Linked DNA regions of Nothobranchius furzeri. The protein of the gene in region 2 interacts with the protein of the main gene of each other region in a biochemical or structural test. Links are inferred from orthologs where the notes say so. Each region holds a gene or a part of one and is shown on either strand. Other genes may lie near its edges.

The links.
Region 1: the proteins of kelch-like protein 12 (region 2) and pdcd6 form a complex in vitro, tested with the Homo sapiens proteins (2 studies listed by BioGRID). The link is inferred for Nothobranchius furzeri from reciprocal best matches to the Homo sapiens genes KLHL12 and PDCD6.

Annotation. Positions count from the first base shown.
Region 1 is NC_091747.1:42,166,581-42,171,365, reverse strand, and holds the start of pdcd6 (programmed cell death protein 6), read right to left. Parts: upstream 3,030-4,785; 5' UTR 2,849-3,029; coding exon 2,766-2,848; intron 1-2,765. UniProt on the Homo sapiens protein: Calcium sensor that plays a key role in processes such as endoplasmic reticulum (ER)-Golgi vesicular transport, endosomal biogenesis or membrane repair.
Region 2 is NC_091755.1:52,045,391-52,050,442, forward strand, and holds the start of kelch-like protein 12, read right to left. Parts: upstream 3,213-5,052; 5' UTR 3,137-3,212; exon of another isoform or gene 3,067-3,136; 5' UTR 2,985-3,066; coding exon 2,927-2,984; intron 2,461-2,926; coding exon 2,234-2,460; intron 1-2,233. UniProt on the Homo sapiens protein: Substrate-specific adapter of a BCR (BTB-CUL3-RBX1) E3 ubiquitin ligase complex that acts as a negative regulator of Wnt signaling pathway and ER-Golgi transport.

The DNA.
Region 1 (4,785 bases), on a different chromosome or scaffold from region 2:
ATGATCCCATCCAGGTTTTGAAATTATTCAAATCTGACCTCAGATGTGCAAAAGTCACATGATGTGTCACCATGTCGTCATCTTTTTAACAAAAATAAAGCCAAAAAGAAATTTCTGGGTGAGAAAAACACTCCTGCAGCCTAAACAATAAGCGTATCAGCCAGGTGCTGTTGATCTAATGTATTGATTAATACACACTGAGGATCAGTTAAAGCATGAGTCAGAGCAGTTTGTTCGTCTGGGGCATACAAGTGTGTGTTAACGCTATGCAACAGAGGAGAGACATCAGTCTGAACTGACCCTATAGATGCAATCAGTGTTTTCAAGGTCAAATCTGTGAGAATGACAAAAAAAGAAACAAGCACTCCATGTTTAGAAGGTCAACAGGTAGAAAATTTCTTTGCTCTAAAAGCATCGGGCTCATTCCACCTTCAGGGCTTCTGGCTAATTTAACTGGACCTTCGCTGCATAAGTGTCCATTTCACCTGGCCAGCCCTAAAGAACCATTTTCTGACCATTTCAGGGATCATACGAGTACCTGAACTGGCGTAAGTACACAAAAAGGACCAGTAGAGTCGCTGGGCGGGAATTGTGGTTAGCTCATGGTTTTAACTCAGTAGGAAATGACCAGCAGACACCACCAAACATGTTGACACTATGAGACCTACGGACCAAAGTAGAGAGGTTTACCCATAATGCACAGCTGGGTTTGGCGGAAACCTGACAGCTCATACCAGCACGGTGGTGAAAGGCTGAGGCTGAGTCCACCATGAACCCCTCTGTAGACCAAAGAGCCTAGCATGAGTCCATCTGTAGGACAGCTGAGGTTTGGACCAAACTGGGTCATAAAACAGAACAATAATCCAAATGCAGCAGCAGCAGATCTACAACAGAAGGACTCAAAATCCAACTAATCTAAGTGAAATGTAATGAATACAACATTTTATTCATGTCCTAGAAGTAAAACTCCACATGTGAACAGGACATCCTTTACCTCAATCCTCTACACTTCCTGTTCTTCCACCTCTCATCTTCTTTACATGAACACACTCTGCCTCAGGCACAAGCAAAAAAAAAATAAATAAATAAAAGGATGGTGAAAGCATCATTAGAACTCCTTTTTGCACGCTCAAGAGACACCATCTGGCATTTGCATCCTCAAACAGAGCTAGAATGCATCACAACAGAGATAAAGTTGTTGTTTTTTTTTTTAAATAATAAGCCGAGACGGAGTCAGATTTTCCCATGTTTCGCTTTTTCCTATTAGACAGTCTGGATGGAATATGAGGCTGGGAAACACCCGCTCCGCTTTCCACATAAAAACTCCCAAAATAGAAGCAGCATCGTTGCAGAAGGATGACTGGCTTATTCCAACTTTTCTTAAGTTTAAGTAGATCTGAGCTGAGCTCAGATTAGCTTCTTGTAGCAACACGTGTGTGTTGTTGGGCAATTTTAACATTTTGTTGTACCATCATCATTGTTTGGAAAGTAGGTGAAAGGGAAAGATGATTCATCCCACATTACCTCATGGGACCAATCCCAATCAATAGACTGCAGTCCAGTGGTACACTAGAAGGAATAAAAACCATTATTCTTTTAAAAATGAGCCTTTCCCTTTTATGTCGTCCAATTACACTCAATTTAAAAAGGATAAAAATATGGTTATAGAGCTTTAATTTAATAGATTTCTAACAACTATCCCACTGTGAGTCATAGATAAGTGTGTGTGTGTGTCAAAAACCTGCCTCTGATCACATGACCAAGGGAATTCCAGTACAGCTCTGCCAGATTTACACACAAACACAGATGAGGCTGTGTGTGTGTGTGTGCGTGTGCGTGTGTGTGTGTGCGTGTGTGTGCGTGTGTGTGCGTGTGCGTCAGAGACTCTCCCTACACTCAGGACTGTCATATCGCTTGTGTTTGTTTGACATTTACGCTGAAGATGACTTTATGTGTGAAGACGGTGATGAGGAAGGCTGTTCCTGTGACAGCGAAACAAAATGACAAGCGTGTGGGGATGAAACAGAGGGCAACAGCCGGCACACATCTGTACATCTGAGGTTGTTGCTTCACATAAATAATTTGTTAATAATGGTTGAAGCATCTGAACGCCTGCAGCATCTCGGTGGTGATAGAAATGGATCCTCTGCAGTATTGCATAACTATATTGGGCTTAATGTGCAGGGGCCAAATCAACATGTCCCTCACTGACTGTCACAGCCCGTGACACATACCTGAAGCCTGTTAGTGAAACACTCTCAGTTTAGATCCTTTCATTTATGATGAGATTTTTGTCTGGTGTTAGGCATAAATAAGTTCAGAAGTCTGGGTAAAGTGAATTCTGTGAAAACGTGACGCCTTCAAGGACTAGTGGAGGTCCTTGTATTTAGATTTTAGAACTTCCGTGGCTCAAAAGCGATCAGCTGATTCAGAAGAACACAATCTAAAGCCTTTGCGCCACTTTTACAGTTGCAACACAAAAGACTAGGAAGGTGAGGGGTTGAGAGACGCTGGAGGAAACGCTGGTATTTCCTCTCTCGTGTCACAAACAGCACTGCGGACCTGTGTTCCGAGCCTAAAGCAGTTAAAAGGACACGAGAATAAGAGACAAAGACTCAGCTGTCAGAGACAAAGGCTGAGCTGTCAGGAATATTTGTTGCAACACCACCCAGCCCCGCTGCCTTCCTCTTCCTCTTCCTCTTCGCGCTTCTCACGACAGCAGTTTTCACTGCGGGGCGAAACAAACCCGCCTTCCCCGCACTCACCTCTGGAAGATATTCCACAGGAAACTCTGGTCCACAGGAGGGTTGCCTTGCGGGTGAGCTCTGTACGGACTGTGATACGCCATGTTTTAAAGATAAAAAGGTGTGCTCCGTCCTGGAATAAAACTACAAACAAGTACACCGACTGTCCTTTTTCTGCTGCGGCTGTAGTTTCTCTCAGCTGCTTCACTCACACTTCACCACCCGACCTTAAAAATGCCTGCCTCCTCCGCGCGCACGGGGGCGTGGCTTGTCATTCACCATGCGTTACGTCATGGTCCAATTTTTATTTCAATTGGTTAAAAATAATGCATTAAATTTTTCAAATTTGTTAACAAATATTTGTATTTTGGAGAATGTAAAAGACTCGAAGTGCATCATACGTGAGGCTAACATGAACTGACAAAAAGTGGTAGCAGTAGTAGTCTGTGATGTTCAATTTATGAATATAACTGAATTATGATGGCCATTACTCAGCAGCCAATTGATATGGAGCCTAAGTCACGCCCATCTGGATTCCTTATTGCAAAAGAAAAAAATAAATAAATAAGAATGGAAGTCTATGGACCAATAAAAGTTTTTTCTGACCCCAGTTATTACTGGCAAATAAATCTGAAAGTAAAAGAAGATGTAAACACGTCCGTTTTCTAAGTAAACGTAAAGGTACACCATGCAAATTTTTCATTTACTTGAGCCAGTATGTGCTAAAATGACCCTTTACAATCATGTCATTCTCAGACCCCTACTGCCCTCTGTGGCCGCATACCGCATTTGCAACTTCAGAGTGCCGATTTGGTCTGTTGGAATGGAAAAATTTGAGCTGACATACCAATATATTAGGGCTGGGCAATATGGCCTAAAATTAATATCACAATATATTGAGGATTTCACCTCAATAACGATAATTGGACGATAACTACAGATATGCGCAGAAACAAAAGTTGTCCAATAGATGGGGCTGCCACATGTATTACATTGAGGAACATTTTTACGTGACAGTGATACAGCTTCATGGACATGAACGCTGCCAACCTACACACATCTTTTCATTTTTTTATTATCAAATTTATTGACATGGGAAAAATTATCACGAGTCAGAAATTTTGATTACAATAAATTTTTGATTTATTGCCCAGCCCTACTATTTATACATACATACATACACACACACACACACACACACACACACACACACACACATATATATATATATATATATATATATATATATATATATATATATATATATATATATATGTGTGTGTGTGTGTGTGTGTGTGTGTGTGTGTGTGTGTGTGTGTGTGTGTGTGTGTGTGTGTGCGTGTATAGATAGATAGATAGATAGATAGATAGATAGATAGATAGATAGATAGATAGATAGATGATAGATAGATAGATAGATAGATAGATAGATAGATAGATAGATAGATAGATAGATAGATAGATAGATAGATAGATAGATAGATATCCTATTATTGCTTTACATTTTAATCATGTGTGTCCATTTACAAAAAGCAACATGATTTACAATTCTGTTGGAATCCAAAGTATTTTGTTTTGACAGTTTTCACCCACTGAAATTATTATTATAAGATATATATGTGATGAAAATCTTTACAAGAAAAATACTTGTTAAAAAAGTTAAATGCATCTCTGTTTTATCCCAGCTATGAATCTGGGTCACGCCATCACATGAAAGTCTCATCATTTGAGTTGTTTAATTTCATTTCAGAATACAAAACATCCGTGTGTACCAGCAATGAAGTTATGCAACAGCTGAATAAAACTAATTAGTTAGAAGAAGAGTTTATTATTGGTGTTTCAATTATTTTTGGATCAACACCATCGACATATAAATACGATCAACACCTATTTTTTATGTGTCGATGATCAACAGGCAGCTCGAACTCTTGCATATCTTAGTAGCCCGTGAAGGCATCACAAGCGATCTGATTGGTCGTGCGCGAGTTGACGCGGGAAAACCCCAGCTATTAAGGTTTCGTCATTTTTATTAGCATAATTT
Region 2 (5,052 bases):
CACAGTCAGTGTGCTAATATAATAATATAATAATGCTAAAATGCTCAGATGGGAATCATTTCTTGATTTATTCTGTTACATCTACAATGTTCTGTGTGTGTGTGAGGTTTACAACTTCAGAACACCTGCATGAGACAGGTGTTAATTACAATCTGCCAGAATGACTCACCACCTTCAGATTCCTCCAACACCGTTAAAAATGATCAAATACTGAACATATCCTGCTGTTGACAGCGTGCGCAAGCCAGAGCGCTGAAACTCGGCGCATTATTATGAAGCTAGGGCACATGCGGAGGACACACACACACACACAAGCAAAATATACTTGTTTTCCAATTACATTTATTGGGCCCACCCACAAAGGAGTTTCTGGCTACGCTAATGGTGACATATGACAGACTTCTCTGAGCTCCGCAGCCATTACACTTTTCACCTCGCGCACCCCCTAGCGGCAGCTCGCGCACCACACTTAGGGAGTCCCTGCTCTAAGGTAGAAAAGAGAGAAAAAAAACTCCAGATGCATTTTTCTGATTTTGTTCCCTTACAAGGATATTTATGCCCTGTAATTATATCGGCATTTAGAGGGGCAAAAGGGTTTCCGTTAAACAAACACTGTCTCTGAGGAGAGATCCATCCTGCAACAGTTAGTATGTTCAAATGTGTCTAGGAGGGATTTTTAGGTCCAGTGTTAGTCTGAACAATCCACCCACAAGCTGACAGCTCTGAAAACAAGTTATCAAACCTGCCAATAAAAGGCACGTCCTGAATGACACCCTGCAGCAGGATCTCTGATGATGCAGCATGATAAAGACTCGCTGCCTGAGTAGCTAGACTCCACCAGGACTGGTGTCTGATCCTGTCAGCAATCTTCATGAACGGAAGCTCACATCGCAGTCGAGTGGTTTGGGTCTCATCTCTGCTTTAGGTGACAGCAGATGATGTGGTTCTGTTAGCATCTTCAGGCTATGATCTTTAGCGTGCACTAGCATGCTTCACAGCTGGGGGCCGAGGGCTGGGATGAGAATCAGCTCCTCTAAGACCGATGTCATTGTTCTCAACCGTATAAAGGTGAAACACTCCCTCCAGGTTGGAGCAGAATAATTAAAGTATCTTGTTAACTAAGAGATGGATCCAAGTAAAACAGAATCTATTAACATCAGCTGGTAAAAACGTTTATAAATGGAGCAGCAAACAGTGTTTTCATTCAGTTAGATGCAATGGTTGCAAATGCAGCTTCATGAAAAGTTAAACACTTAGCATGGAAGCAGATAGCAGCTATTTTTAGGTCTGATGGGATTTCCTTCAGATCAAGAGTCGACTGTTCAGTTATCTGAAAAAGTGCTGTGCTCATTTTCTAATGATGACAACAACTTATTATCTAAAGAACGTAAGCTTTGTTTTCTCCAGATAAGATGAATACGATGAAAATGGGAGAAATTCCTGTGTTACGCCCGTTTTCTTCATTTAGTAGCATTGCTGTGACTCTTGGATGATTAAAACTTATTGATGTGCTGTTTACTTTTGAATCAGTTGCAAGCAAGACTGACCTGATTTCTGATGAAGTAGCCCTCTCTGGTTGTGAGTTAGAAATAACTGTCTTAACACATTGGAGCAAGCTGTTCCAGGTCAAAATGTCTACATATTTCAGCCTGTTATAGCAACAAAACAAGCTTTATCCCCAGTGAAAGCATTAAATAACAAAATAAACCATTATTAAAAGACCTGCAAATGAAACCATATTTGTAGGCCTGTCATTGTGCGGCTTCCAAACGTCCGAAGTTTTGTTTTGTTTGGCTCACACACAACGGTAAAATGTAGACTTCTGTTATTTACTCACTAAGTAAAAAGATCTGTTGGATTTGAAAGATCTCATGTCAGAATAACACATGGATGCTGAGGGTGCTGTTCTGCAGCATCTCTTACTTATGAAGCATGTTGGAAGTAAAACTAATATTATGTAAATATTAAATAAAGTCTCAAATGTTGGGATGAACTCATGTGTTCCTACAATACAACTGTACTTAACAGAACCTCTTCCTAAAATAAATTTAGGTTTTCTTTTTATTTCCCATCAAATGATTTGAAAAATTTGTTGTACATCCAGTATAAAATCCACACACATCCATTTAAGTTACAAGTAATAGTTAACCCAAACAGGGGAAATGCCCCCAAATTGTGAATATTTAAAAAAAAAACTGTTTTGTACATTTTAGTCCTGAAAAGAAAGTTCTACCTCACTGGTGAACATGGCACAAAAGTAGTCGCTGCAAGCAGCCAAGACGATCCGGTGAGCAGGAAAATCCGCGTTGTCCACCCTCAGAGTGATGTCGCAGAGTGTGTTACTCTTGCGGAGTGAATTCATTGCATTGAGGATGGATTTAGCATGGGAATTTGTCATGATGTCTTTGGGAGCCATGCTGTTTGGAGGATCCGTCATAGATCTCAAACTCCCACAGGAACCTAAAATAAATACATCAAGACAAATAAACGGAATTCTTGCAGACCACAATGCCATCTGGGAACAGGAACAGAGACAGGAAGCACCGGATTATTGGATTAATAATAATAATAAAAACTTTAGCATTGGCTCATTAGTTAAAGATTATTCAGGAACCATCATGACTACTGAAAAAACATTTTTGATGAATCTGTAGAAATCATTAGATGTGTGTGTATTGGTTTGTTGTTTTGTTTTGGAAGAAAAAAACAAGGAAAGACATCAAATAATGTCACATCTGTCAGTGGAAGAGTCCACAAACAGGTATTATCCATCCTTAGGTATTTAAAAGCTGATATGTTGATTAAAACCAGACAAAAAAAAAAAGAATAAAACAAACGTATTTGTCAAACAAAAACCCATGTTTGAAACTACAAGTACATTTAGTTAGAACCAGGATTTTTATTTGATCGTGGTGATGAAACTTACCGTGAAAAGATCCTAACACTTTTTCCACCACTGGGAGGCAATAACTATAGCTACACATGAGCTAAAAGCAGCACTGAACAACAGCTGACGGCTAACGCCAACGCCACACAACTTCAGAAAACAGCAGCTACAAAAGCGGCCTGTAGGCCAGAGGGAGACAAAACAAGAAGCGACACACACACAAGAACTTGGCAAGAATTTGCATTATACCTGCAGGGCAGAGTCAAAACGTCTAGCTAAGTTGTTTTGCTAACTAACTGTAGCAGCACCAAAGTCTCAGTTCAAACCGCCCTAATCCATCATGACCTCCGTCAGGTCACACCAACACACGGCCTCCGCGGGGACGGGTCTGTTCAAAATATCAAAATTATCTCATATTATGTCCCAGAACGATCTTTGAACACCAACAATTTAACGTTGACTAAACTGCAGTGGGTCACAGTAGCGCCACCAACAACATAGTTGGCAAGCAGATGTATCATATAATAGTTGGACACGAACTTTCAAACAAAAATCCAGAATTCACTTGTTCGTAGTAAAATGAATAGCCTTTAGTCTGTGGTTGTTGTTGCTGTTGTAGTATATGTTGTTACATGACTATATGTTGTTACATGACGTTGTTACCTGATGTTCAGACATGATGTTGTTACTTGATTTTGTTACATGATGTTACTTGATGTTGGTACCTGATGTTATTGCATGATGATAGTACATAATGTTGTTACCTGATGTTGTTACAAGATGTTGTATAATGTTGTTACTTAATGTCACCTGATGTTACCTGATGCTGGTACCTGATGATGTTACATGATGTTACGTGATGTTATTTGATGTTGTTACCTGATGATGTTACATTATGTTGTTACCTGATGTTGTTACTTGATGTTGTTACATGATGATGTTACATTATGTTGTTACCTGATGTTGTTACTTGATATTGTTACATGATGATGTTACCTGATGTTGTTACCAGATGTTGTTACATGATGATGTTACATTATGTTGTTACCAGATGTTGTTACATGATGTTATTATTTGATGTTGTTACTTAATGTTGTTACCTGATGTTGTTACCCGATGTTGTTACCGGATGTTGTTATATGGTGTAGTTACTTGATGTTGTTACTTGATGTTATTACCTGATGTTGTTACTCGATGTTGTTACCTGATGCAAAAACAAGGTAAAATAACACTTGCTGTGTTAAAAAGAACAGTAATGCAGTAGAAATGCAGAACAATTTAATAAAACAATGTCAAATGTTATGACATGTTACTCATTTCTATGCACAGTGTAGAAGTAAAATGCTATTTGTGACCAAAGTGCCATTTAAAAAGATGAACTCAAATGTCAACTCACTTGTGCAGTGGAAATATGAACTAGACAAAGACATGGACAGATATGTTTGCCACATCTGAAGGGGATAACCTAATATAAATTAATGGAAAGCTGACATAATTTGCTTCAAAAGTTTGTTTTCCCTGACAAAGTCTCAGTTATGGAAAACTTGAGACACAATTTTAATATTGTGACAGTTTTGGTTATCATTGGTTTTGATTTTATAATTCAGATTGTCATTTTGACAGAAATATTTACACTGACGTTCAAATTACTTTTTAAATGTAATTATATTAAATGTTAAAACAGCTTGCCAAATTCACCGGCAGCCGGGGCGATGACGTACACAGTGCGTGAGTGTGCGTGCGCGCTCCCCAAAGAGCGAGACGCGTTTTTTTCCCAGAAATATGATGCCTCCCGCGCGTCCTCGCCTGTTGGTCGCTGCTGTTTCAGAAATGGTGAGATGACGATTCTGTGTCAACAGACTTACTTTCCAGACTTGAAGAAGTGCTGTGAATCCTACACAGATATCTCACAGCAGCAAATTAAAACAAAACAAAACACATTGTGCTCTTTTTAGCCACCCAAGGACGACAGCTACACCGTGTAGGAGGAGCTAGCGGCGTGTTTCCGTTAAGAGTAGGCCGAGATGGCGATCTAAGCAGCCGCACTGAATGCGAGCTAACAGCGGCCGAAGATTGGGCAGCTACTACCGGAAACCGATTCACTACTAATTCTTTAATTACCGGGAAGCTGTGGTTCTTCGTTTTGGGCTGGGCGTAAAGAAAGA